Coturnix japonica: one gene and its partners. The protein of the gene in region 1 interacts with the protein of each later gene in a pairwise test. Links are inferred from orthologs where the notes say so. Each region holds a gene or a part of one and is shown in the gene's direction. Other genes may lie near its edges. The genes, in order: zinc finger and BTB domain-containing protein 8A, AP1M1, RPL9, KIFC3, BYSL, FAM161A and KIF5B.

What was found.
Region 2: the proteins of zinc finger and BTB domain-containing protein 8A (region 1) and AP1M1 interact in binary tests that used the Homo sapiens proteins (3 or more experiments, as listed by UniProt). The two-hybrid records come from large-scale screens. The link is inferred for Coturnix japonica from reciprocal best matches to the Homo sapiens genes ZBTB8A and AP1M1.
Region 3: the proteins of zinc finger and BTB domain-containing protein 8A (region 1) and RPL9 interact in binary tests that used the Homo sapiens proteins (3 or more experiments, as listed by UniProt). The two-hybrid records come from large-scale screens. The link is inferred for Coturnix japonica from reciprocal best matches to the Homo sapiens genes ZBTB8A and RPL9.
Region 4: the proteins of zinc finger and BTB domain-containing protein 8A (region 1) and KIFC3 interact in binary tests that used the Homo sapiens proteins (3 or more experiments, as listed by UniProt). The two-hybrid records come from large-scale screens. The link is inferred for Coturnix japonica from reciprocal best matches to the Homo sapiens genes ZBTB8A and KIFC3.
Region 5: the proteins of zinc finger and BTB domain-containing protein 8A (region 1) and BYSL interact in binary tests that used the Homo sapiens proteins (3 or more experiments, as listed by UniProt). The two-hybrid records come from large-scale screens. The link is inferred for Coturnix japonica from reciprocal best matches to the Homo sapiens genes ZBTB8A and BYSL.
Region 6: the proteins of zinc finger and BTB domain-containing protein 8A (region 1) and FAM161A interact in binary tests that used the Homo sapiens proteins (3 or more experiments, as listed by UniProt). The two-hybrid records come from large-scale screens. The link is inferred for Coturnix japonica from reciprocal best matches to the Homo sapiens genes ZBTB8A and FAM161A.
Region 7: the proteins of zinc finger and BTB domain-containing protein 8A (region 1) and KIF5B interact in binary tests that used the Homo sapiens proteins (3 or more experiments, as listed by UniProt). The two-hybrid records come from large-scale screens. The link is inferred for Coturnix japonica from reciprocal best matches to the Homo sapiens genes ZBTB8A and KIF5B.

What each region holds. Positions count from the first base shown.
Region 1 is NC_029538.1:4,572,794-4,576,838, forward strand, and holds the start of zinc finger and BTB domain-containing protein 8A, read left to right. Parts: upstream 1-1,245; 5' UTR 1,246-2,058; intron 2,059-2,635; exon of another isoform or gene 2,636-2,983; intron 2,984-3,100; 5' UTR 3,101-3,122; coding exon 3,123-4,045. UniProt on the Homo sapiens protein: May be involved in transcriptional regulation.
Region 2 is NC_029543.1:3,468,908-3,473,077, reverse strand, and holds the start of AP1M1 (AP-1 complex subunit mu-1), read left to right. Parts: upstream 1-1,370; 5' UTR 1,371-1,434; coding exon 1,435-1,476; intron 1,477-2,025; coding exon 2,026-2,182; intron 2,183-2,424; coding exon 2,425-2,492; intron 2,493-3,068; coding exon 3,069-3,199; intron 3,200-3,429; coding exon 3,430-3,577; intron 3,578-3,998; coding exon 3,999-4,125; intron 4,126-4,170. Other genes in the region: protein FAM32A, read left to right, coding at 37-113, 185-323, 402-455, 554-622. UniProt on the Homo sapiens protein: Subunit of clathrin-associated adaptor protein complex 1 that plays a role in protein sorting in the trans-Golgi network (TGN) and endosomes.
Region 3 is NC_029519.1:62,572,151-62,576,344, forward strand, and holds the start of RPL9 (60S ribosomal protein L9), read left to right. Parts: upstream 1-1,394; 5' UTR 1,395-1,475; intron 1,476-1,868; 5' UTR 1,869-1,869; coding exon 1,870-1,915; intron 1,916-1,997; coding exon 1,998-2,113; intron 2,114-2,925; coding exon 2,926-3,021; intron 3,022-3,327; coding exon 3,328-3,460; intron 3,461-4,194. Other genes in the region: LIAS (lipoyl synthase, mitochondrial), read right to left, coding at 233-326, 684-856, 1,211-1,297.
Region 4 is NC_029526.1:1,981,525-1,985,672, reverse strand, and holds the start of KIFC3 (kinesin-like protein KIFC3), read left to right. Parts: upstream 1-1,348; 5' UTR 1,349-1,363; coding exon 1,364-1,498; intron 1,499-2,804; exon of another isoform or gene 2,805-2,885; intron 2,886-3,702; exon of another isoform or gene 3,703-3,767; intron 3,768-3,810; exon of another isoform or gene 3,811-4,004; intron 4,005-4,148. UniProt on the Homo sapiens protein: Minus-end microtubule-dependent motor protein. Involved in apically targeted transport. Required for zonula adherens maintenance.
Region 5 is NC_029541.1:4,735,622-4,739,855, forward strand, and holds BYSL (bystin), read left to right. Parts: upstream 1-1,434; coding exon 1,435-1,820; intron 1,821-1,901; coding exon 1,902-2,040; intron 2,041-2,247; coding exon 2,248-2,381; intron 2,382-2,567; coding exon 2,568-2,728; intron 2,729-2,933; coding exon 2,934-3,036; intron 3,037-3,167; coding exon 3,168-3,516; 3' UTR 3,517-3,782; downstream 3,783-4,234. Other genes in the region: MED20 (mediator of RNA polymerase II transcription subunit 20), read right to left, coding at 613-866, 1,031-1,182, 1,327-1,436. UniProt on the Homo sapiens protein: Required for processing of 20S pre-rRNA precursor and biogenesis of 40S ribosomal subunits. May be required for trophinin-dependent regulation of cell adhesion during implantation of human embryos.
Region 6 is NC_029518.1:13,371,497-13,374,258, forward strand, and holds part of FAM161A (protein FAM161A), read left to right. Parts: coding exon 1-8; intron 9-428; coding exon 429-596; intron 597-1,133; coding exon 1,134-1,233; intron 1,234-2,198; coding exon 2,199-2,341; intron 2,342-2,762. UniProt on the Homo sapiens protein: Involved in ciliogenesis.
Region 7 is NC_029517.1:12,865,640-12,869,139, forward strand, and holds part of KIF5B (kinesin-1 heavy chain), read left to right. Parts: intron 1-906; coding exon 907-994; intron 995-2,206; coding exon 2,207-2,280; intron 2,281-2,849; coding exon 2,850-2,954; intron 2,955-3,293; coding exon 3,294-3,342; intron 3,343-3,500. UniProt on the Homo sapiens protein: Microtubule-dependent motor required for normal distribution of mitochondria and lysosomes. Can induce formation of neurite-like membrane protrusions in non-neuronal cells in a ZFYVE27-dependent manner.

The sequences.
Region 1 (4,045 bases):
GTCTAGAAAATAAAACTCTCAGAGGGTTGCTTTGGCTTTGATTATTATTGTTATTTTGTAAGCATTGGAATGGCTGTGATGTGTTGCTGTGCAGCACAGGGCGAAACGAGTCCTGATGTCTGAGAAAACCCCCATTCTGTTCCATTGTGATCCCAGCTGCACTGGGTGAATTTCTGGGCGTTTCCTGAACTATTCTGAGTATTCTGAGCACTCGTATCAGGTTTAAAGATCTGATTTGTTTACTCGAGATATCACAGCATTTTTCCCCTAGTTTTAAAATTCTATGACCTCTTTGTAGCCGATGGAGAACCCTTAAACTCCTGCTTGCACTGATAAAACTGCTGAGCTCGGTGCCCTCTGGTATCGCCAGGAAAGCACCTGGTCTGTGCAGTGTCAGCTGGGTCGTGCAGAACAAATACCCACAATCTATTCTTTTCAGAAGGAATTTTTCAGTACAAGAACTATTTGGGATATGGAAGTGGGGGGAAACCATGATGTAGGATGTCATATACACAAGTGGTGCTGCTTAGTTGAACCGACAGGCACATGGATTATTGGCAGCCACTGTCCAGGGCTTTGTGAACTCAGGGATTGCAGAGCTGGGCTGTAACACCAGGACAAACACGAGTTCATCTGCCCTGTTGTCCTGCTCACAACAGCTGCCTGCTCTGTGCGAGGAAACAAGAGGCGTTTAGCAGCACTAATACCTGAATGCTCCTCTTACAGACATGGAGGCTTACAGAGGTGCATGGCAGGTAACTCACAGGTCTCAATAGCTGTACCCTGGTCTCAATAGCTGTACCCTGGTCTCAATAGCTGTACCCTGGTCTCAATAGCTGTACCCTTGCCTCGTGTAACGCTCACATTTCGCTTCCACAACTGCACAACAAGGAGCTCCTGTGCCTGCCTATGTCAGGTGAAGAACCACATCCTGCTGCTCTGTTGCTGCCAACCGCTATCGCTTCATTTGCCGTCACCTCCCCTTACACCAGGATCAGCAGCTGACAATCACTTCCTATTGATCCTGATGTGATTTTATAAATTCCCATGTATTTCACTTGCTTCATTCTTCCCTGCCTTGGCTGGCTCACGCCCCATAGGAATTCATGCAAAGCTGTGCTGGACTTTTGTCATCTCTCTGTTCTCTTTCTGAAAGAACACAGACACATGAAGGATTTTTAGTGTGGCCTGCACAGCAAAATTCGAAATGAGACAGAACTGAGAAAACAACAGAAGTTTATTAAAAAGGGGAATAAAAGCGGGGAAATACAACGATCCAACATAAATGGACGTAAATTGAATGTGAAGAGAGGAGAGACTGCGAGAATGAAAGTGGGGGAGGAAAAAGCCTTTAGGTGCCTTCCTGCTTCTGCTACGATGGGGAAAGGAACGTAAATTGATTCAAGATGGAATGTCTGAAGTTTATGCAAGGGAAGGTTGAAAGGAACCGAGGATACAGCTAAGGCAGAACATGGGACAAGGGATGATTAACAAATGAGGGTCAGGAGAGAAAAGACGCTGGTGGTAAGAAGAGGAAGGTGAAGGGTGTCAAACTTGGAGCGAGAGAAGTCGAGAGGTGGAGGTTGATTGAAGGCGTTGTGCTGCTTTTTCCAAAGACAACTGAGATGTGAAGGAAAGACATCGCATCTCCTCCTGGGGAAGCTGCAGATACGTTAAGGAAGGATTTGGGTCATTTGGGCCCGTGTTACACATAAAGGTGTGAGAAACAACCGGGACATCGCAGCCCCACCCGGACGGATCGTGTGTGTGTGCGGGACGGAAGCGGCGCGAGCTGCAGGGCGGTCAGACGTCGGGAGCTGCTGGGCTGTGGCTGCAGTCGGTGCGTTGCCCCTTTAATTGTGTCCCCAGCCCTCGGGCGTCCGTGTCCAACGCCCACGTCAGCAAATACCTTTTGTTTCTCTCCCGCTCGGGCTTCCAGGGCTCGGGGCTGCGGGAACGGGGCGCTGAGCGTGGCCCGAGCGGAGCCGGGGACCCCGCACCCTCCGCCCGCGCCTCCATCGCGACCGAGCGAGCGGCAGCCGCCCGCGGAACCCGGCGGTGAGTGGCGGCCGGGGCGGAGGGAGCCCGTGTGCGGGGCTGCGGGCGGGACGGCGCCGGGAGCCGCAGCCCCGCGGTCCGGCCGTGCCGCCGTTCGCCGCCGGGAGCCGGGCGGGCCGCGGAGCCCCGGCAGCGCCAACGGGCGCCATTGGCGGCCAGAAACCGGGCGAGAAGGAGAGAAACCGGGCGCGGCAACAAAGGGCGGCGCGGGAGCGGAGAGCGGGGGGGGAAGTGGGACTGAGCCGGGCGGGGCGGGCGGGGGCGGCTCAGGGACACGGCGGGAGCGGGGCGGGAACGAGCGGAGCCGGGGCCACGGGGCGGCGGGCGGCGCGTCCCGCACGGAGCCGAGCGGAGCCGAGGGCAGCGCCACGCGGGACGGCGGCCGAGGGCGCCGCTCCGTGTTAAAGCACCGGGAGCGGGGGCGGCGGCCCCGGGGCGGCATCGCGGCCGATACCGGGCGGCGGCTCCGCGCCTTGGCGGGCGGGCACAGTGCCGCCGGGCGTCACGGGCTGCCGGCGGCCGGTGCGGGCGGGGCGCGGTGAGTGGCGGCGGCGGCGGCCAATGGGGGCAGCCCGGGACGGGAGGGATGAGGCCGGAGCCGAGTTCCCGTTTCTGGTCCCTCGGGCGGGGATGGATTCGAGCCCGGCCGGATTCGGGCGGTGCGGGAACGGCAGCACCGGGCACAGGCCGCAGCTCTGCCGGTTCCCTCGGGCTCCTCGGGCTCCTTGGGCTCCTCGCCATGACGGTGAACGGCTGAACGGTGCCGCCGCGTTTCTCAGCCTCCATCTGAGGATGCTGCTGCTGCTCATTCGGAGCTCTGACATCGCTGCCAAACAGCACAGGCAGCCTCACATGGACTCGTTCCATCCTTTTCGAACAGCAATGCCTGGTGGTGGATATTGGGATATTTAATTCAAATATATTTGTGTGTTTCAATAAGATTATTTTTCAGAATATCCATTAAATGGGGTCTGCCGGCCTTGGCGAGCAGCGCAACGTGGAATTCACGATTGTAATTTGTTTTAATCCCTTTGTTTCCTAGAGCACAGCACATCTGCTTTGGGATGGAGATTTCGTCCCACCAGTTTCACCTCCTGGAGCAGCTCAATGAGCAGCGCAGGCAGGAGCTGTTCTGTGACTGCAACATCCTGGTGGAGGGCAAAGTGTTCAGGGCGCACCGCAATGTGCTGTTTGCCAGCAGCGGGTACTTCAAGATGCTGCTCTCGCAGAGCTCCAAGGAAATGACTCAACCCACCACCGCCACCTTCCAGGCGTTTTCTCCGGACACTTTCACAGTTATTCTGGACTTTGTGTATTCGGGCAAACTGTCTCTCACTGGTCAGAACGTCATCGAGGTGATGTCGGCCGCCAGTTACCTTCAGATGACCGACGTTATCAGCGTGTGTAAAACGTTCATCAAGTCGTCTCTGGACATCAGTGAGAAGGAGAAGGATCGATACTTCAGCCTCTCAGACAAGGAGGTGAATTCCAATGGCGGGGAGCAGCCGTGTCTGTACGGCGCGGGCTGGAGGGCAGAAAGCAGCCCCCCACATCCACAGCCAAACCCAGAGCAAGGGACGTGTATGAGGGGAAACACTTGGAGCAACTTCAACTACTATCCAGCTTCTCAAAGAAACACGCAGCAGCAGCTGTCCAAGCACGAGCAAAGGCAGGATGCCATAAAGAAATCCCGACACCCGGGACTGCAGCAACCCGCTGACATTCCACACTATAAATCCAGCAAACTGGAGGACAGGGCTGCTGAGCCTGCTGGCCACATTTCTCAACCTGAGGACCAGGTTCAGATTGAGGCAGAAGCGGAATCTCCTCACGTGGGGTTTCAGTATGGCCAGGGCTCCGATGTGATCTCCAGGCGCTCAGCCGTGTCGCAGCAGGAGCGCGACTCGCCCCGTCCTTCCAGCAAATCCAAGTCTCCAAAAGCAGACGAGCAGTACCCCAGCATGCCCTCCATTGTAGGTGTGATGGG
Region 2 (4,170 bases), on another chromosome or scaffold:
CCGCCAGGGGTCGCTGTGGCGCTGGGCGGCCGAGCGATGGCGGACTACGAGGCGGTGCAGCGCGGGCCGCTGCGGCTGAAGGGCGGCGGAGCGGGGCTGGGGGCCGGCAAACGGTGAGCGGCAGGGAGAGGGGGGAACCGGGAGCCGGGCCGGGGGCTGGGAGCTGAGCGGCGTCTGTCCGCAGGAAGAAGAAGAAAGCGAAGGACAAGGCCAAGATCCTGGAGCAGATCGTGAGCAGCAAGAAGCAGGAAGAGGAGAAGAAGCGCGGCCTGGATAAGCGGACCCCGGCGCAAGTGGCCTACGAGAAGATGCAGGAGAAGCGGGTAGGGCCGCACTGCCCCCGGGACGTGGGGCGGGTCGGAACCCCACGGCAATAACTGTGATCTTGTGTCTTCTTCCAGCAAATGGAGAGGATCCTGAAGAAGGCCTCGAAAACACACAAACAGAGAGTTGAGGTGAGTGGAAGTACCATCAGCTGGGCAGCGCTGTGGGGAGGGCTGCGCGATGGTGAATGCTCCAATTCTGAGCGCTCTGTTCCTTTGCTGCCCCTCAGGATTTCAACAGGCACCTGGACACTCTGACGGAGCACTACGACATCCCCAAAGTCAGCTGGACCAAGTGAACGGGCGGCGTTTCGGGGCCTCGGGTCAGGAGTTGTGCTCACACCAAACAGGGCTGCCGTGTAAACCTCCGTATTCATGATACTGAATATTTCATATGTCTTCGGAACATTTATCACCTTGTACTGCCGTATTTCAGTTTCAAAATACTCAACAAAACCTCTTCTTTGGCTGTTGACTTATGGGGTGTTTTTCAGTGCTCAAAGCTGAACCCAATTGCTGTGAGACAACAGGAGAATGTTCCTTTATTTGTCCTATGCCAGCAGCTCTTAGAAGAAGCAGTCTGTGGCAGCATTACATTGTATGAGCTGCTCTTATCAGTGGCAGAACTGTGTAATTCCTATATAAAATCTCTGAGTTGGGGCAGTGGTGTCTGCTGTATTCTACAATCCTTATGTCTTTACTGTAACTTATTAAAAAGCTCCTTTTATCCATTATTTCGGTGCTCCTTTCCCTGCAGTGAGGGTGGTGTGCTGCATGCAGTCTGTATGGCTGCATTTACAGCTCTCACAGGTGATGTGAATCACATCCCAGACCCTCACACACTAATTCAACCCAAGCGTTTTCCCTCTGGTACCGCTGACCCGTCCCGGGGCTCCTCAGCCTTCCTAACTGCGGACTTCAGCCGGCCGCGCACTACTTAACGTCAGCAATCGGTGCCTTAAGTGCTGTTCCGCTGCCGGCGGATCACTGCGCGTATCCCTCCGCGCGGCCGGACCTTGTGCAGCCGCTTCCTACCGGAAGTGGCGGGCGGAAGCGGAAGTCGCTGTGACTGTGATCGGGCGCGGCGGGCGCGGCGGCCCCGGGCGGCGCGATGTCGGCCAGCGCCGTGTACGTGCTGGACCTGAAGGGAAAGGTGAGGCCGCGCTGCGGCTGTGGGCGCCCTTCACCCCGAGCTGCCGAGAGCGTCGGGCCCGTCCTGGGCTCGGCGGGGCCCGGCACCGTGGGGCTCTCTCGGCCTCGCTGCCCTGCGGCCGCCGCTTCCCCTTCCCGCTCGCTGTTTGCCCCGAGCTGTGGGGCGGTCCCGCCTTGTCCGAGTCGGGGAGCGGCCCTGCCTGCACAGCCCCGAGCATCACAACTGCGGTCAGTAATATCAGCCCTAATGGGAGGAGGCTTGTCCCAGGAGAGCGGTGTGTTTTTCCATCTCAAAAGTTATTATTATTAGGGTGTGCGTAGCTGTGTGAGGAATAACACTAGGAGATACGACTGCGTAGCTTGGGGATTTGCGTTCAAATTGCAACATATAATGGCACTTTGGTTTGCGTTTGTAGTATGTATAGACCATTGATTAAAGCTTGATATGTGGGTTTTTCAGTTAAGAGGTATTTTAACTATCCCCTGTGCTGGTCTGGCATGGTAACGTCATCTCTCAAAGGAAAAGTGTAAGGAATTGTTCTTTCCGTAGGTTCTCATCTGTCGAAATTACCGTGGGGATGTGGACATGTCAGAAGTGGAGCATTTTATGCCAATCCTTATGGAAAAGGAAGAAGAGGGAACGCTTTCTCCTATTCTAGCACATGGAGGAGTTCGTTTCATGTGGATTAAACATAACAACCTCTATCGTATCCTTTGTGCTGCAGGCAACCTACGTGTGAATCATTGAATGAATCATAGAATGACTTGGGTTGAAGGTACCTCAAAGATCTTTCAGTTCCAACCCTGCTGCCTCAGCCATGGCTGCCACAAACTAAATCAGGCACCAGATCAGGCTGCCCCTTTTACAATGCTTTTAAAAGCACACTCAGTAAAATGCTTTTCATCACACCATGACTTTGAATGCGTGTTCCTGAACATCCTTTATTAGTTGTTGCAACTTCTAAGAAGAATGCTTGTGTATCACTGGTGTTTTCATTTTTATATAAAGTAGTTCAGGTGAGTAGGAAGTTTTGGATTTATTTCCCATCTATTTTTCAGTGTGATCTAATAAAAATGCATAGAGCTTTCACTTTTTTTTTTAAATAGAATCTATACTATTTTTCCTTTATATTTGATTATTTGATAGAAATGTCTTCCTAACCACTAAGAATGGAATTGATATCTTATAACTGAGTAGGCAAAGGATGTGACACAATGCTGTGAGTAGTTGCACATGACCCGAGAACACAGAGGAAAACACTGATGTATGAATAGTGCCATATATAGGTGCTGTGTTGGGTTAATTTGGAACTGGCATCACAACTGTTTTTCCCAGCATAAATATTTTTTGTAATGATCAGACTTATTTCTTGGTCTCTTTAACCCCCTTTTAATTGAGGTGAGTTTCCTGCTGCTAATCTGGACAGAATGTTTTTAGGAATTATGAGTTTTGTTTTGGTGATTTATTTATTTTTTCCTTTTTTTCTTCCAAACTCTTGTTAGTTATAGGAATACATTCAGAATATGCTGTAGTTCCTCAGCTCATGTCCTTCTTTTTTTCCTTCCCTCTCGTTCTTTTTTTTGTTGTTTCAGGTTTTTTCTGAATATTTCAAGGAGTTGGAAGAAGAGAGCATTAGAGATAATTTTGTTATTATTTATGAGTTGTTAGATGAGCTTATGGATTTTGGTTACCCACAAACCACTGATAGTAAAATTTTACAAGAGTAAGTATCAGTCTTTATTGCTCATATTTGTAAAGTCCTTGGGAAAGTCTTTGTATTTTGCATGCAAACAAATGTTTTGGGTTCCTCCTCTAGTTATCAAAATATTTAATACTTGATAAAGTATTATAATATCCAACTTATTTATTGATGATGTGTATCTGATATAAAAGACACTTCAGATTTTTCAGAGTATAATTTGTATTTTTTGTTCTAATTCTGTGCTTATAAAGGTACATCACTCAGGAAGGTCACAAACTTGAAACTGGAGCTCCACGTCCACCTGCCACTGTTACAAATGCTGTTTCATGGAGATCAGAAGGGATAAAATATAGGAAGAATGAAGTGTTCCTGGATGTTATAGAGTCTGTTAACCTTTTGGTGGGTACCTTTTACTTGAACTTTTAATGAGAATTATTAGTAGAAGTCTTGAGAAGAACTTACTGTCTGAAAACATATTATATATTATATATTAAAAAATCAGCCTAACCATGATTAGTGTGCTGGGATGCTGTCTGTCATTGAAACTGACAATCTGTAATGACAGCCAGAGATAAATAATCATTTACTGGAACTTGTGCTCTGTGCCCAGTAGTCCCAGAGTTGGTTTCCAATGTGTCCTTCCTTTCTCTTTCAGTCTATTCCCACTTTGTCCTTAGTCTGATTGTACTGTGTTGGATTGGTTGCTCGGAAGAAAAGCATCCACGGAGACCCGGGGCTTGAGGATGGGGTGGGATTGCTGTTTGATCTCATATCATATTGTGTTAGGGCAACCTTTATCTTTCTTTTCATTACCCTTCAGGTTAGTGCCAATGGAAATGTATTACGGAGTGAAATAGTTGGATCCATTAAAATGAGAGTCTTTCTCTCAGGAATGCCAGAGCTCCGCCTTGGTTTAAATGACAAAGTTCTCTTTGATAACACAGGCCGTGAGTATTTCAGCAATATCTTTTGAAATTGTGATGGGTGTTCTC
Region 3 (4,194 bases), on another chromosome or scaffold:
ATCCATTTCCATTTTGTACTATATAAGCCCAGAAGCAACAACTCCTCAGCTGAGTAACTGCCTTATTAGTTAGCATAGATTGTCATTAGCACTTAAATGTACACATTTCACAAGAGATAATATTCACAAGACCACGTAAGACATAATGTCTTTCTGTCTTCCACAGAAACAAACACAGAACAAAAAGCCATCATCATTTCTACTGGAAAACTTGGTTTGATATTCGATCTACCGTGTGCAGGTTTAAACTTCTCAAGGTGTTTTTCAGTTTATTGTAATTCTTGCCCATGGGAATCTCCGTTTTCAGCCATGGAGGAAGTCGTAGCCTGAGCAAAAAGCAAACAAATGTCAACATCAATACATTATCTACATGGTAAATTTCCATTAATTACAGAATCACAGAATGACCTGGATTGGAAGGGATCTCAAGGATCATGTAGTTCCAACCCCCCTGCCTGGCAGGGCCACCAGACATACATATTTACTAGATCAGGTTGCCCAGAGCCCTGTCCAACCTGGTCTTGAAGGTTGGTCTATATTAATTATATAGACCCACTTCAATTTGTTACATATCCAGTGAGAAAGGGCACTGGAAGCTTTGAGACCATCATCTGTAATGCTGGGATTTCACAGCACACCAGTGCAGAGCACAGCAATTAACGGCTGACTGCAATGCCATGTACCTTTCTCCTTTCTGACGCTTTAAGTTGCCTTTATACTCAGCCCACACGCTCTTGTCTGCCAGATCTCCCGATAGAAAGTCTTCTAAGTCTGGTCCAGTTTGGAGGGCTTTCTTTGTCTCCTCAGGCAAAGAACTTGATGTTCCGTACTGGTTACACACGTGGTTCCCTGACACCTAAAAGAAAAGAACAGTATAATGTAATGAATTATAAAGGACTGACTGACTCCCTTCAGCTATCACAGAATCACAAAATGACCCGGGTTGGAAGGGACCTCAAGGATCATGTAGTTCCAACCCCCCTGCCTGGCAGGGCCACCAAACATACACCTTTACTAGATCAGGTTGCCCAGGGCCCCGTCCAACCTGGTCTTGAACACCTCCAAGGACGGGGCATCCACAACCTCCCTGTGCAGCCTGTTCCCCAGCAGCGCTAAGCGGAGCTCAAGGGCCGCTTGTCCGACGCGCTGTCGATACGGTGACTGACGCAGCCAGTTGCCCCCCCGCAGGCGTTTCCCACCATCCACCCACCCGTGCACGATCCCCCATCCGCAGCAGCACGCTCCGCGCTGTGGTACCGGCCGCAGCCCCGCGGCTCGCCCCGCTCAGCAGCGCCATGTTGCCGCCCCGCTGCCCGCTGTCCACCCTCCGTCCCGCTGCGGCTCGCTGCCATCGGAGCTCGCTCTCTCTGGCCTGTCAGACGTCGGTCTCTGCGTGATGACGTCAGCTGCTCGCGACCGGCTACAAGAGCGTGATGACGTCACACGCCGCCCCTTTCGGCGCTGCGCGGTGCCAGGTGAGTGTGGGCCCGGTTCCGCATCCAGCTCCATCGGCGGCGGACGGGCCCCGCGCCGCCCCGCCGGGCTCACACCGCCATCCCGGGGCTGCGGCCGAACCGCCACGGCGCCCTGAGCGCGGTCCGACGGGGAAAGCCGGCGGGATGGCGCCTGCTCCGACGCCCCCTCCGCCCCTCCCTGCTCCGGGCCCTGCTGTGGGGAAGGATGCGGAGCCCGCGGCCTCCTTAGCGCCTGGGGCGGGTCTGCGTGCGGGCGGCTGTAGCGGCGGTAGTTTGGGGTCGGGAGCTGCCGGGACAACGCAGCTGCGGGCCGCGGGTACGTGCGGGGAGCGGGGCGGTGCGAGGAGCCGCTGTTCCTCCTGGGCTGCAGCTTGTGGTGGTTGTCGTTTGCAGGATGAAGACCATCCTCAGCAACCAGACGGTGGAGATCCCTCCGAAAGGTACGTGTGCGCTCTGCTGGAAGGCCCGACCTGCTGCCGGCATCGCAGCTGTAACGTGCGTCTGTCTGTGCTCGCTTTGCAGTCACCGTGTCCCTGAAGGGCCGCACGGTGATCGTGAAGGGCCCCCGGGGGACCCTGCGGAGAGACTTCAACCACATCAACGTGGAGCTGTCCCTGCTGGGAAAGAAGCGCAGGAAGGTGAGTTCCACGCGCTCTGTAACCACAGGGGGAGGGGAGCACGGCCTGCTTAAAGGCCTGAAAAGCAGGAGCTTCAACCAGGTGTATCTGGCCTTGTTAGCTCTGTTAATGAGCTCTGTTGTGTTTTCTGGGATAAGTTGATCTGCTGGGATGCTGAGGCCTGCTTGGGCTCCATGGCAGGCTTGAGGTTCTGTTGTGTCTTGGAGTGGTGCTGATTGTTTTTCTGTGTGGTTGCAGTTCTTATTGTTGCGAAGGGGATTCCTTGTTGTATGATGTTCTTTTGCCTGACAGGTTTTAGCTGAGTAAAAGTAATTGGCAAGTTACACTGGGAGGGCTGATCCCTAAATGTGTGTGTGATATTTTCATGTGGTGTCTTCAAGAAAAGAAAAAGGGGGAAAATGGCCGATTTTGGTAACTTTTAGTAGGCATTTAATTTGTCAGAAAAGCTCTGGATCCTAACACTGTGTAACTGAGAAAATGGATAGCTTGCGTTATAGTAGGCTGACTTCAGAACAACTAGTTTAGCGTTTAGTATTGGATGCCTCATTCTTCAGTTTAAGGCTTCTGAGCCTTTTTAGACCTGCTGCCTGTCCTACCTTCTCTGATGGGACAAAAAGAAGGAAAAAACTTCCTGTGTGTCTGTGGCTCACGATGTGGGACTGGAGCTGGGTTGGTCTTCAATGGTCTTTTGAAGAAATAAAGTATATCTGTGCTTTTAATAGCTTTTCATTTGTAATTTGTCACAAAGCCACTTTATTTTTAGTACCGGAATGTAACTTACAGCGTTGTTGTTGTTATTTATTTCTGTGTAGCTGCGTGTGGACAAGTGGTGGGGTAACAGGAAGGAGCTGGCAACAGTTCGCACCATTTGCAGCCATGTACAGAACATGATAAAGGGCGTGACGCTGGTAAGATGCTGTTCCAATGGCATTTGGGGGCAAAAATGGGCAGACTTGAATGAGCTTTTCCATGTATGTCAGTTATTGTGCATGTGAGCAGCTTTCTTTTTTCTTTTTGGATGTCAAACAAATTCAGGGGAAGGAAGGAATGAACAATAAGCTCTGAGTGTTTCTTGAGCTTAATATCTTTACTGGGACCAAATCTTCAGTGTATTCTGTTCCTAAATGTAACCAGTGAGCTTTATGCCTCTGTTTTCCTTTCTGGCTGAGTTCTGATTTCCAGTTTTCAGTGCCTAACGATGCCTTTTATCCTAGGGCTTCCGTTATAAGATGAGGTCGGTGTACGCTCACTTCCCAATCAATGTAGTTATACAGGAGAATGGCTCACTTGTGGAAATCCGAAACTTTTTGGGAGAGAAGTACATCCGCAGGGTGCGCATGAGGCCAGGTGGGTACAGCTGGACATACTGTGCTCAGCTATTTCTAATCGGGGTTCCAATCTATTCCCTTTCAGTACTGCCACTGGTAGCAAGGAACAGCTGATTACTGGAAGCAGCATTTTTCACTCTGTATTTATGTCACCTTACAATACATTTACCTCAGTGCAGATTGATGGTTAATATCCGTTCTGTTATTTATCCTTAGTAATGATAAAGCTAGTTAGTGCAATAGATGTTAAAAGGATCCCAGTGTTTCATTTCATTGTTGTTAGATCTTCACAGTGTTTGTTGGTGTAAATTTCTGGTGCTTGGTTTTAGACCAGTGTTTCTATTATAATCTTTGCAGGTCATCTGATTTCACTTGCATTTAAAGAGTTGTATTTTTAATTTTGTAATTAGCCAGGGACACGTCTCAGTTTTCATCTTACCCATTAGCTCTGTGTACATGAGGTTTAGCAAGAAGCCTAACAAGGCAAACATTGGAAGGACCTTGTTAAGCTTCCAGAAGGAATCATACAGTCACTGTGGCTGGAAAGAAATCTCTAAGATCATTTAGTCCAAACTACCACCAATATTGACAACTAAAGCATGTCTCTAAGTAGTGCATCTACCCTTTCCTTAAACAGTGAATCCAGCACTTTCTGTGCATTCTGTTACGATGCCTCACCACTCTTTCTGAGACGGAATTTGTAGCATCCAACCTAAACATAAGTCCAGCTGGTTTTGTAGCTGGCGAAGCGGA
Region 4 (4,148 bases), on another chromosome or scaffold:
GTTGTATAGGGACACATTGCCAGCCCCGGGCTGGGACCCACTAGAACCACATGGCACAGCACAACAGGGCATGACATGGCACAGGATGGCATAGGATGGTTTGGCATAGCATGGGATGGGGTGGCATGGCATTACATATGATGGCATGGCATGAAATGGAGTGATATAGGATGGCATAAGATGGCATGGAATAGAAGAGCATGACATAGGATGGCATAGCATGGGATGGAATAGCATAGGACAGAATGGCATGGAATGGCATAAGATGGTATGGCATAGGATGGGGTGATATGGCATGGTGTGGAATGGCATAGCATAAAATGGTATGGTATGGGATGACAAGATGGCATGGCATGGAGTGACATGACCTGGGGTGGAATAAGGTGGTATGGCATAGTGTGGCATGGGATAGCATGCTGTGGAATGGCATAGGGTGGCATAGCATAAGATGGCATGGCATGGAATGATATATGATGGCATGGCATAGGATGGCATGACATGGGATCGCACAGGATGGCGAGGCACAGCATGGCAGAATATAGCGTAGCATGGCATGGCACAACATGGGATGGCATAGGATGGCATGACATGGCACGGCTCTGTCCTAGCACAAGGTGGAAGAATGAGCAGCAGCCTGGCGATTGGCTCAGCCCAGATAAGAGGCTCCTTTGTACTGCAGAAATGCTGCTATCACGTGCAGATCTCTCTGCTGCCATGGTTACTGCCTGCTGCAGTGCATGCAGCACAGCGGTGTGACCATGTTGAGCTGGGACATGCAGCATTAGCATGGCTCTGGGTCCTGCTGCAGCACTGGGCAGTGTCCCATCGCTTTTTACACGAAGGCTCTTTTCATTAAAGTGTTTTCCTGTGCGCTAATTACGTTGGTTTTCCTTCTGTAAATGAGCCCGATATGATCTGTGTGTCTTGGCAAACAGCCTCGAGAACAGTAACCAAAGCCTTTTTGTTTGATCGCTGTTTGCTTTGCAAATCTCCCTGCTCTCACCGTTCCTGGCTGCCTTCAGACAGCCTGCACGTGCGGGTTGATGGGAGGGAAATGGGGCTCTGTGTCATTCCTGCTGCAGGAACAGGAAAGGTTTGGGTGTTCCTGAGACCCTGGGGTGGATGGCTGCACTCAGGGAGCAAACGTGCTGCCATCTGAGCACTGTTATCTGCAGAGGGAGAAAAGTCCACCTGTCCACCCATCTAAGAAATAGGTTGTGTCAGCAATTTGCAGGGCTGGGTTTTAATCTGCTCTTAAGGCACCGGCAGACAGGAGCAGAGGAGACGTCGCTTTCTCCTCCACTGCAGACAGAGTTGCTCTGCAGCAGCCGCCCTGGGGGCCCTTTGGGGAGCAGGCAGTGCCATGCATGCGCTGGGTGCTCTGGCTGCACTCTCAGTGCTGGGCTGGACTAAGGACAGCAAATGGAGGAGCGTGGCTCTGCAGAGCACCAGGGGACTGCCAGGAGCGAGGCGGTGGGCAGCAGGGCCCGGCCCCCAGGTGAGAGACATGGGGTGGGAGCGATGGCAGTGAGCTGCAGTGTCCATCCATCGCCATGCAGCTCCAGGTGCGGGTGTAGGGCTGTGCATTATAGATGAGAGCTGTGAATAATGCATGGCAGGGTAAGTTTGCAGGCCGAGCAGTTGGGAGGCGACAGAGCTGTGCCATTGCTCTCCCCTTCCAGAAGGGCACAGCAGCACTGCTCTTCCCACAGAGGCTCCTATGGCTGCGTGTCCCTGTGGGATTCAGCTCTGAGCAGCCAAAGCCACGCACTCAGTGTCCCTTAGTGGCACGGCTGCTGACATCAGCCTCCAAACTCAGTTCCCTAAATTATTCACAATTACTGCTTGAGCGTCTCCTCCAAAACCAAACGTGCTTCCGAGGGCACTAAAAATAGACAGCTTCGCCGAGGACGGGATGCCTTTTTTAAAGGAGACCGCTGCCATCCTTTCTGCCTGTATTTGCACCTCCTGGCTCAGCTCCTGGGGAGAAGGGCAGGGATGGGGCCAGGCCCTGCAGGGACCCTCCAGCTGCACAGCAGGAGAAAAAGACAGGGCTGCTGATGTTGGGTGGGTGAGTGGGGGCAGCTCCGGGTCACCTGAGTGCTGCCCTATCTCAGCATCGCTGCCTGCGGGTTGGGTTAATTCCCACTGTGAACTTGGAAACGAGTACAAATTTCTCAGGAGCACACTAAGACTTAATTAAAACTCGTTAAAGAGCTCAGATGGCAACGAGGGACTGTGGGGTTTCGTTAGCTGCTCCTGTGGGCTCAGCACGGGGATCCCCTCACTGGGGCTCTCAGGGAGGAGTGGAGTTACAGCACTGAGCTGCGTTATCATTAATTGCTCTGTGGGGATGATTCTCGCTCCATCTGATGATCCTCCCGGTGGGAATTTCCTACAGAGAGCACCCAGGTGTGCCCACGCCTGCATTCCTGCCATCAGTTTGCTGGAAGGGAATGGAGGGGGAGGTTAAACTTTGGCCAGGATATCGTATTTTCCCCCCATCTCCCCCGAGGTGTTACAGATGTAGGTTAAATATTTGCTCGGGGCAGAGCAGACTGCAAATGCAAAGGGCCCCCATCGGCACAATCAATGGGGCTTCCCTCCATCCACACTCGTGGGCAAATAGGGGGGAAATGGGAATGAAGCCGCCTGGCTGAGCCGATCCCTCATTGCATACACACGCACAGGAGGTGGCAGCGGGGCTGGCCGCCCTCCTGCTGCTCTCCCAGCGCTCATTGATCCCGGGCCGGCACTCGGATGTCTGCTCCCAGGCTGGCAGCGAGGAGGGATGCTTTGCAGACGGGGAAAGAGCTGCTCTAAAAGGAAGGGCAGAGCCCGCGGCGCCGCGTTGGAACGTGGAGAGAAAGCAAAGGCAGCACGCAGTGAGCTGGGGCTGGAGAGAGGGGGGTGGGGGGGCAGCCCTATTGCTCGCGCAATATGAGGGTGATAGAGGGGCTGCTTCCAATGCGAAAGAGCCCTGAGGGTCGGGATTTCCATGCTCAGCCCCGAGTACCATCCTTAGGATAAACCCCACCGGCCCGGTGGGCACCCAGATCTCCTGGTGCATTGGGGTCCTGCTCTGGGAGCCGTCCATCTCCCCTCACCCATTTAGTCTCTTCTCGATGCAATTGACGCAACGTACGCCCGCTGCATAATTGCAATGCCATCAAAAAACCTGAAGCATTCAAAGGACAGGAAATGACTTAACGCCCAGAGCTATTTGCATAAACATTATTTTGCCCTCACAGCTCGTAAATTAAGGCAGTGACAATACGACATTTAGAGTCGCTGCTGGAATGCTTACAGTCACCTCGTGTCCGCCCGTGTCATCGCTGAACCAGCGGCAGCCGCTGCACGGACACGGGGAGCCCTGCGTGAACACCTACAGCACCCACAGTGGGGCTGAGAGAGACTATATGGGGCTGAGAGGGGCTGTGGGGGCTGGATAAGGCTATGAGGGGCTTTAAGGGGCTGAGAGGGGCAGGTCGGGGCTGTGTGAGGCTATGTACAGCTGAGAGGGGCTATATGGGGCTCTGTAGGACTGAGAGAGGCTGTGTGGGACTACGAGCAGCTGTAAGGGGCTGAGTGGCAGAGTTGGGCTACGTGGGGCTGAGAGTGGCATTGCGGGGCCGTGCATCCCCCAGGCACCGCCGCCCGTCGGGGGTCCCGGGCGTTACCAGGGCAACGAACCGGGGCGGAGCAGCCGGTGCCGACGCCCGGGTGGGCGGGACCGGGGCGGGGAGCGGAGCCGCAGCGGGCGGCCGGTGAGCGGCACCGGGAGGGAACCGGGAGCGGGCGGTACCGGGAGCGGGCGGGGCCGGGCCGGGCCGGGCTTCCCTTTGTGTGCGGGACGGCGGTGGGAGGGACCGGGGTGCGGAGCGGGACCGGCGGACTTTGCGAGGTGCCGAGTCGCTCTCCCTGCGGCAGCCGAGGGGTCGCGGAGCCGGGGACCCCCCGTGCCATGCCGGCAGCCCGCCCGGGCCGGGAGCTGCCCCTGCAGCGTGAGTAGCGCCCAGCTCCGCGGAGGGGCGGGGGGAGGAACCGGCAAGCCCGCATTCTTCGCATTGCTGCGCGGCCGGGGAGCGGGAGCGAGCTGCAGAGCTGCAGGGGCGTGGGGTGCCCTGCGGGTTGCGCGTCCTGCTGCT
Region 5 (4,234 bases), on another chromosome or scaffold:
GCCACGACATCTCTCAGATGTGTGATGATAAAGCCTTGGGATTTAAGGACTTGCGGTTCCAGACCAGGGATTATGTACTAATGGACACCCAGAAAACAACCTACTAAACCAAAGCAGAAGCAGCCGGACTGCCAGGAAAATCTGGTCCTGGACTCAAGCTTAGGGTAAAACAAGCTTCTCTTTAACCCCAGCTCAGCAGCAGCTCGCACCACTACATCTGTGTTTATTCTTATGAAGCAAAACCAAGGCATTTCTCAATCCCATCCCTGTTAGCTCGGAACACCTGCCTGGGTAGATGCGCCATCATTATTAATTACAGACCAGTTAATAGGATTTGTGTGTTTAGGGAAACACATGCTCAGATTTTACAAGACCTTTCAGCACCTCATCTCAGATCTGGGGCAGCACTGACAGCACAGAGCTCTGTGACCAGGAGAAAGCAGCTTTAGAGCCAAAGCTGCAGCAGGAGGGCATTGAATGCATTAATACAACCTGCCAGCAACGAGTAACACAGATGATACATGGAAGGGATGGGGACTCAAGGTTTCTAGCCAAGCCTCCAACATGGGATTTCCCTGCCCTGGATTTCATACCCTTAAAGGTGATTCTCACCTCCACGGATATCCCGCGGGCGCTGGGGCCCATGGTGACGGTTCCCACCTTGACCAGGAAGTCGCAGTACTGGTACCGCGTGCCCCGGCTCTCGATCTTGTTTGCCTTGGCGTTCTGGAAGAATCCCTTCAGCTTCACCATCAACGTGTCGAAGTTGGCGTCCGCGATCAGGCAGGGCCCGTTTTCAAACAGAGCGAAGCAGCTGAGGGGATACTCGGAGTTGTGCATCACGTACATCAGTTTGCCCGTCTGCCCTGAAAGAAAAGCAGCGTTTGGCCCGTTCCTTTGACACCCACCCTTTAAACATTCGTATGGGTTGATAAGCGCCCCCAGCCCCTCTCAGCCTTCTCCTCTCCATGCTGACCAGCCCAGCAGATGCCCCATGTCCGCACTACACCCGCCCCCCCCGGGTTCCCACCTTGGCTGCTGATGGCGGCTGCCGTGTGATACGTCTCACAGTCCACCCCGAACGCTCCGTGTTTCTCGGCTCCCAGCAGCTCCAGCTTCTTGCTCAGCAGCTCCACGGTTTGCTGCACGCTCTTACCCTCCAACACGGGCACCTGCGTCACGCTGCGGGGCGACAAACAGCAAAAATGGCCGCGGGGCCTCCACAAAACCCAAACCCAAACCCAGCCCCAACCCCATCACCCCATCACCCCATCCATCACCCCATCCATCACCCCATCCATCACCCCATCCCCACCGGCCCCTCACCAGGTCACCCCCATGGCTCCGTCCCGGCAGTGGCGGTGCCGGTACCGGAAGGGGCGGGGCTGGCCGTGCTGGCGCCGGCGCGTCTGATCGCGTGTCGCTGTTGCGGCCATGCCGAAGGCGGCGCGTGTGGCGGAGCCGCTGCACGAGCAGATCCTGCGGGCTGCGGCCCCCACGGTGCGGAACCGGCGGGCGCGGGACGCGGGGCGCGATGCGGAGGAACGGGACGGCGGATACGTGGGGCCGCGGTTGTCCCGGCGCATCCTGCGGGAGGCCCGGAGGCAGCAGGAGGAGCTGGAGGCCGAGCACGGCCCCGGGGCGCCCGCACCGACAGCCCCGAGCGGGCGCGGGTCGGAGGAGGACGATGAGGACGAGGAGTGGCCGTCACTGCAGCGGGCGGCGGAGTGGGACGGGACGGGCGGCGGGGGGGACGTGCAGGTGGATCCCGAGGACGAGAAGGCCCTGGAGATGTTCATGAACCGCGCGGCGCCGCTCAGGTACCGGAGGAGGGGTGGGAATGGGCGGGGGGTGGACGGGGAGCTCCGGTTCCCCATCACCGACCCCTGCCGCCCCCCCAGGCGGACGCTGGCGGATGTGATCATGGAGAAGATCACGGAGAAGCAGACGGAGGTGCAGACGGCGCTGTCCGAGCTGTCGGGCCGCCCCATGCCCCAGCTCGACCCCCGCGTGATAGAGGTGTACAGAGGCGTCAGAGAGGTGAGGGCACTGCGGCCCCCCCGGCCCCACACACACCTTTGTGGGACCCCCCAGCTCCCGGCGGAGCAGTGCAGACAGCACTGCTGTGTCCCTCGGGTGTTGTGAGCACATACGTGCTGTGTGAGCACACGCAGTGGAGCTGCACAGGGAGCAGACAGGTTGCTTACAGCCTTGAGACAAACCCTTCCCCCTCTGCTTCCATTGAAGGTGCTGTCCAAATACAGGAGTGGGAAGCTCCCCAAGGCATTTAAAATCATTCCTGCCCTGTCCAACTGGGAGCAGATCCTCTACATCACGGAGCCCGAGACGTGGACGGCAGCAGCGATGTACCAGGCCACGAGGTGGGACCAGCTCAGTGTGCTCTGAGCTGTTGTTTTCTCCTTGTAATGGAACGAGATGGACAAAATACCATCGTGTGTCCTACAGCTGCTCCTCCTGCCCTGTGCCTGTGGAGCAGAGGGGATCCTGATGCTGGGGGTGGATGGCTCTGGAGTCACAGCTCACTCTTCATGCTTTGCATTTCACAGGATATTTTCATCCAACCTGAAGGAGAGGATGGCCCAGAGGTTCTACAACCTGGTGCTGCTGCCACGGGTCAGAGATGATATCGCTGAGTATAAGCGCCTCAACTTCCACCTCTACATGGCTTTGAAGAAGGCTCTGTTCAAGCCAGGAGCCTGGTTCAAAGGTAGGGGCTCCCTGCAGGGCTGCACTCCACCCCTGGGAACCTGCTGCAGGGCAGGGCAGGGGGAGGAAGGTGGAAAGGTGCCCATGATGCAGAGATGTTATTTCCTTGGGTTAAATGTGCCCTGAGAGAGCAGAGATTGAGCCTCACACCCCACAGCTCTGCCTGCTGCAATGACCAGTGGTGCCCAGCTCTTCTCTCCCCACAGGGATCCTCATCCCCCTGTGTGAATCGGGGACCTGCACACTGCGGGAGGCCATTATCATCGGCAGCATCCTCACCAAGTGCTCCATCCCTGTCCTGCACTCCAGGTAATGCACTGGGGCAGTCACTGCCCCTCAGCCCATCCAACAGCTCAGAGTGGGGGAGCTTTGCTCAGGGCTGATTCAAAGCCGTCCTTTTTGTGCCCTGCCCTCACCTGCTGCTCCCCTTGTCCCCACAGTGCAGCCATGCTGAAGATTGCTGAGATGCCATATAACGGTGCCAACAGTATCTTCCTGCGGCTGCTCATCGACAAGAAGTACGCGCTGCCGTTCCGTGTGGTGGATGCCCTGGTCTTCCATTTCTTGGCCTTCCGCACAGACCAGCGCACGCTGCCCGTGCTGTGGCACCAGAGCTTCCTGGCTCTTGCCCAGCGCTACAAGGAGGACCTGTCCTCGGAGCAGAAGGAAGCTCTGCTCGAGCTGCTCAAGTTCCACAGCCACCCACAGATCTCAGCCGAGATCCGCAGGGAGCTGGTGAACTCCAAGACACGGGACGTGGAGGGGCAGGAGCCGGCAGTGATGGAGTGAGGGGAGGAAGGAAGGAAGCACCACAGCCTGGCCTGGCTCCTGGGGGCTGCTGCACAGCTGGGAGCAGCACGTCCAGGGGTCTGGGAGCATCCAGCCCTGGGATCCCACTGCTCATGGTGCTGTAACCACGGGGCTGGGCTGGGCTCCCTGCGCTGCTTGTGTCAGGGCAGCCCTACAGCCCTGGCACCCAGGACAGCAGTAGGGCTTGTCCTGCTCCTGTTCTGGAAAATAAAGCCCGTGCTGGGTCCTTCCTGGAGCAGCTCTGACCTGCAGTTGCATCTTTGTGTGGCTGCATCCGTGCATCGTCCTGCCCTGTCCCCCTCCCCTCGTCCTGTCCCCAGCAGGGGGCAGAGCAAAGCCACCAACAGCGGCTCCTTGCAGCACTGCGCTGCAGCTGTCCCGGCTGCAAAAGGAGACCAGGGGCTGTGCAACTCCCTGCCCTCCTTGTGCTCTGGTCAGCAGCGAGCACGTTCCCAACTGTGCTGTGCATTAAGCAGCCTCTGTGATGTTGGGCAGAGGGGCTGGGGTTAAACATCTTCCTGTGAGAGGTGGGGGCAAGGGGCAAGGCCATAACCCACACGTGGCAGCTGCCTTGAAGTGCCACCTCTGCTGTAAAATCCAGCGGGGCATCGCACAAGGCTCCGCGCTTACCTGGGTGCTCACCTGGACACTACAGCTCCTGCAGATGTCCAGCTCCTGTCCTTGCTCCTGGAAGCAT
Region 6 (2,762 bases), on another chromosome or scaffold:
GCCCTAAGGTGACTAACTGCTGCAGTGATGCTCTGTGCCTTTAAATACCTAGAGAGAATTCTTTTGTACCTCTACAGATGCAATTAATTATTTCATGCAGTGAATATGGGACTTAATATGTTCAGTTGTACACCATTGTCAAGTCCTTACACTAAACACGGGGCTTTACTAATACTGGGTTTTCCTAGAAGCAGTAATGCACATTCCTGCACGTGTCAATAGGAAAGGGAAGAACGGCCTCAGTTTGTCAGGATACGCTCTAATCCCTTACAGTGGCACATACCCATTTATACCAAGCCCTTTTTCATCCCCCCTCCCCCCCTCCTCCATTTCTTTTTTAGTATTTCAAATTTCCTTTGCCGAAGCTTCCTTTGAAGTCTCGTGCCTGATTTCAAACAAACTCAGCCTTAGTTTGTTTCTCCACCCAGGAATTCGCATGAGGAAAAGAGAAGGCTGGAAGAACAACAGAAAAGGAACAGGACAAAGCAGAAACAAAGAACAAAGAAACTGCAGAAAATTGTCACGACTCGGGCTGAGGCCAACGACCCCCATCAGAGCCTCGCTCAGACCTCTAAATCCAAACTAAAGGCGTTCAGGTATTTCATTGCATCCCCTGAATCCTGAGCCTCTCTGCAGAAACTCAGAGACAATATGGAAAGAGGTGGGGAAGGCAGAAGAATCTATTATAAGAAACTATACTCAGGCAGGCCCCGTTAGCCTCACTGGACAGGACTTCTCGCTGCTTATCCAAGGACACTACTTCAGAAATAGTTTTGTCCACTGGTATTCCAAACAAGGATGTTCTGGCAGTGAGGCCCTGGCACAGTTGCCCAGAGAAGCTGTGGTGCCCCATCGCTGGAGGTGCTCAAGGCCAGGTTGGATGGACCCTGGGCAGCCTGAGCTGGTGGGGGCAGCCCTGCCCACAGCTGGGGGTTGGGGCTGGGTGGGCTTTAAGGCCCCTTCCAAATCATTTTATCATTCCATGAAGTTGAGGAGGTAAACCTAATTCCACTGTAAGACAGTAAAACCTTATGCTTTTTTTAACCAGGGACCATGCTTGTCATGGAGCAATTGGAAGGAAGTACTTCTTGTGTTACAGACAATTGACTTCTGTTGCACTGTGTTTCCTTTAGGAACTCCGCCAAGCAGAGAATGCAGGAGTATTTGCAAGAGTTACAAGAGATGGAAGAAAGAGTAAAGCAAAGGCCATTGCTCTTGGAAAGAGTAACACAGGTTGCCTTGTTTGTCTGTTTCTTAGACTCATCTCCAGTTAAGTGTGTAGGGAACTTTTAGTCAAACACTGTTAAAAGTTACATGAAGTTATTTAGACAAGTTTTTGTCCATTTTAATTTCTACTGCTCCATCTCCCTACAAATCACTTTTCTGTGACCAAGCATTCATGGTGCGTTTGCGCAGGGAAATGAGATGTTTTAAAGACATCCAGTGGTTCAGTTATAACACACACAGCACTGAGTCGAACACATTTACAGCAAAAGATGAGAGGTTTAATCTGGGAGAATACTAGGAGATCTCAAGCATTCCCCATGTCTACTGTAAAGCTGAGATGCAGAATTTTCACCCCTCTGTCTCAGTAAAACAAAGCATTGGTAGCACAGTCCCCGACTGCTTTTGGAATAGAGAGGCAGCAAGGCATAGACAGCCCATTCCTCCCAGTTCTCTCATCCCTCCCAGGTGGGTTTCCTGGCCCAGCAGTGCTGCAGGGCAGAGCATGCATGAAGGCTGGGGACAAGGCCTCCTCACCCAGCTGTCACTTGGAGGAGCAGAGCTTACACAGCTTGACAGAGAGATTCAGATTTGCACAGCACATCAAAACAGCACTGTGAGAGAGTAAAGCAATGTCATGTTTCAGAGCAGCAGCTCCCCCAGAGAGAAGCAGCCCTAGGAAGAACACAGCTGATGTTTCAGGTCTGTACCTTCTCCCCGCTCCCTCAATAGCATTACACAGTATTTACAGCGCTTTGTTACCCGGCGGATGTAGGGAGCAAATTGCATTTGAACCAGTACAGAAAAGGGAGGAAGATCTGCTATAAAGTTCTCAAGTAGTTTTGCCATTCTTAGCTGTAGTGAATAATCGAACTTAACTTCTCACGTGCAAATAATGAAACAGTATTAATATAAGCAAAAGTATCTGAAGACGGGCATTTAGCTCATACTTCACCCTTGTGTTTTTCCTACAGAATAATGCCAGAATAGCTGCAGAAAAATATTATTCTAACAGACTGAGAGCTCTGGGGGTGTGCCCAGACTTGGTTTCCAAGAAAGGACAAACAACTAAATTGCAAGAGTACTGCAGTGCTGAAGATTTTGATGCCAAAGAAAGGTAGAGATCACAGAAGGGTTTTGGTTTTGCTGCTGTGTACCGAGTAGTAATGAGAGCCATTTTTAATGCTGAGAAAATCATTTGCAGTACTTCCAAGTAAATATTGCAGCGTGTGTGGTTGTTTTGCCTGAATTGTTTCCTGAGTCAGAGAAGGGCTCTGGGTATGTTATACACCATGCACTTCAAAGAACAATTCAGGGTAATATTTTCAGTCTGGTTCTTTAACCGTGATTTCTGGAAGGCTGCTGAGAAGTCATTTCATTCTGCATCACCTTCACTTTTATTTCTGTTTTTTAAAATAAGCCTTATTTAAGGCTTCTCAATATCCATTTGCTGTTATGACAGAAAGGAAATGGAAAAGCCAAATATATAAGCAGTACTGTTACTTTCTAGCGTAAAAGCAGAGTCCAGCCTTCCCTCT
Region 7 (3,500 bases), on another chromosome or scaffold:
GAATGTGGTGAGTGGGTGGGTAAAAGATGGAAGCTAGACTTGTTCTGCTGCCAGGAAGGCCGTCCCACAGGATCCTTGGGGGAGGGGAAGGATGATAATGAATTAAACATAGGCCAAATGGATCATTGAACGGTTACAGTAAGTTCAGTGGTAGGAATTGACTTAAGGCCCTTGGAAACCTCAGCTGTCTGCAAAGATATTAATAAACTCTGAAAGTTCTAGGAAATTTTCAGCTTAGTAAGATGAACTTAATAACTCATCTTTATGGACTGTCAGCTTGTTACAGCTGTTACCAAATCCCCAGTTCTTTTCATAAAGCTGTGTCAGAGCTTCCTCTTTCAGTGTTTTCCTAAAGAAATCTTTGGAAGGTTCCCTTCCTGCAAAGTGGCCTTTTCCTTCTGTTTACAGAGCCTCATTGTAAGGATATCATGCATGGGGAAATGTTCCTTGTGCTGACTGTAGGTGACCTGGATGTTTCCTTTGGTTTGAGATTGTTAACAAATACTATGAAGGCATATTGTGTGTGATGTGATACGAGTTGTTTTTAATAATTTGGGTTTACCAAAGCAGTGGAGAAGAATGAAGTTTTCTCAGAGGTATAGACACTAAGCACTGGTTTACAGTGTAAGTAGAGTAGAGGTCGTGTAGCAGTGTAGTTATGGCAAATAGTTTGGGTTGCACTTAAAAGCCAAACATACTGAATTCAAGGCCTTATTTGTAAGCAAACATGTGAAGATTTAGACACATACATAAGCCGATTTCCTCACTGCGTCCTTCAAGTACTTAAAATAAAACACGAGATCGGACCGAGACCATGTAGGCTGCTTCTAAGCTGTGTGAACAAACACCTTTCAGTTGTGCTTCCCAGGTAGTCTTTTTTTAACAGCCTTTCTTTCTATTTTGCAGTCCAAGCCATATATATTTGACCGTGTATTCCAGTCAAACACATCCCAGGAGCAAGTATACAATGACTGTGCTAAAAAGATTGTCAAAGGTAAGGTGGGATGAACTCTTTGTTTTTGGGAAACACCTTATTTGTGTGGGTTTTTATGTTGAAATCTGGTACCTTCTGTTGCTCCCGTTTACCTTCTGAATGTTTAATAACAGTCATCGTGGTTCAGAGTATAAAATCATCCTCTAGTTGAGGTGATATGATGTCAATACTGAGCCCACTTCTCCAGTTGTTTGCAGCATTTGATGATAATTACCTGTTAGTTTGATTTTTATTTTTTATTTTCAGATCTTGCTAGAGGTTAAAACAATTGGCCTTAAATTAATAAAGGATAGGCTTCTGTCTGTTTGAAAACAACTCGTATGAGTAGTTTTTTTTAATTGGTGTCAGAAAACAGTTATTTTTGTTTGGAGGAATGTAAGGTGAAACTTGGGAAACTTCATGTTTGTTTTGTTTTAACTTTGCAATTATGAGTTACCTGATTTCAGTGCTTATCAGAGTGTACTCTCTCTAAACTTGAACTGTCTAATGGCTTTGTGGCTTCTGGGGCTCAAGTCTTCTAATAGAGAAGGTTATACTACAATGAAGTACCTTATTAAGGAGTTAGGTAACTCCCTCAAAATAAAATTGATTCATTTCTTAAGTAGATCAGTACAAGTTCCAATTGACACAGCTTTAAAACAACTGTATCAAAGCCTTCTTAGGAGTGCGTAAACTATCAGCTGTTAGAGGCAAGACCAGATGAGTGAAGTGTTGAAGGCCCTTACCCTTCAACCTGAAACTCAGAGTTGAGTTGTTCATGGTTTAAAACATAAGCTTATGGCCAAGTGATAAGATGCTGGAAACTTTTAGCTTAGCTCATTCTCTTAATAATCAGATACTCCAGCTTTACTGTGAAGGCAGCAAATAATGTACTGCATAATACAATTTGTTTAAATGGTCAAAGGCTGTCTGTACAATGTGGCAGTTGTATTCATTTACTTCTTATTACCAACTCTCAAGTTGTGTTTTGCTGGCTGAAGGAGCTGCTTCTAATACAGCTTCTGGAAATGCAATCTGTAGTGACTGCATTAAAAGTGCTAAGGGAGAACACTGCTGCCTTCCTCTCCCAGCACCAAGTATTGTAGCGCTTACTTTTCAGTCACTGAATGGCTCAACTTGCTGAACATTTTAGGAATTGCTCACATTCTATTTTATTTGACTTTTGTTTAGGAGAAGGGAATCAGTCCTAATGAAAATATTTTTTTCCTCTAGATGTACTTGAGGGATACAATGGTACAATATTTGCTTACGGGCAGACATCATCTGGAAAGACGCACACTATGGAAGTAAGGCAACTTAAAATTATTTTCTTCTAATATTGTTTTCATCTCTTTTCACCACTGTGGTGTTATATTCCTAGAGATGAGATATTGGCTTGTTTTTATGAAATCATAGAATGGTTGAGGTTGGAAACTATCTTTTAAGATCAGTAGTTCCAACTACTCTGCAGTGGGGATGGAAGTCTTTCATTCGATTAAGTTGCCTAAAGTCCCCATCCACCCTAAATTTGAACAGTTCCAGAAATGAAGCATCTGCATCTTTCATTTTCTTTCCTATTACAAACTTTGGATACCTAAAATATTTTTCATATGTAAGAATGGCAGTTACTGTATTTATTCAGCTATCAAAAGCAGGATTGTTCATGGTAGATTTCTCATCTTTGTGTGTGACGTTTTTGAGGCTGTTCTTTTTGTTTCTAGCAACTTCTGGCCCTAAGTGGATGGCTAAGAGCTTCCTTTGCAGATAAACATAAGTGCATTTTACCCACCAACACTTCAGAGCTATCTTGTTTCACTTTTTATTCTGCCTTCAAATACTTTGTGTATTAATGTTTTTTCATTCCCTTTTCTAAAAGGGGAAGCTTCACGACCCAGATGGAATGGGAATTATTCCAAGAATAGTACAAGATATCTTTAATTATATTTACTCTATGGATGAGAATCTTGAGTTTCATATTAAGGTAATGGTTTCTTTATTTCCTATATTTAATCTATATTAAAATTGGAAGTAGTTTGTTGCGGAATGGATGTTTCATATCTGTTACGAATGCTTGTGAATTGGAAAATATAAAGACAAGTTATTTCAGAAACTGGCTCTACTCAAAGAATAATTGCATTAACACTTTAATCTTGTTTCCATTAAACATTGATGGTAGATAACTTGTGTCAATGCTGTGTATTTTAGTTTGTCCTCGTGGTTGTCAACTAGATATGGCAGTACATGAGAGGTTGTGGTTATTGTACTGAGTCCTTCTGAAGTACATTTTTGTGTTCTAATGCCATTTGTTTCACACTTCTAGGTGTCGTATTTTGAAATATACTTGGATAAAATAAGGGACCTTTTGGATGGTAAGTTTCTTATTTGCTTTGGGCATAGGAAGTAAACTGCTTGGTAGAGAGATTTAAAGAACAAAAGCTTTAGGATGATACTGAGACATATGTGTTATGTTAATAAGTAGCCCATCTCTGATATAGATGCAGCAAAATGAGACCACACGTAGCTAATG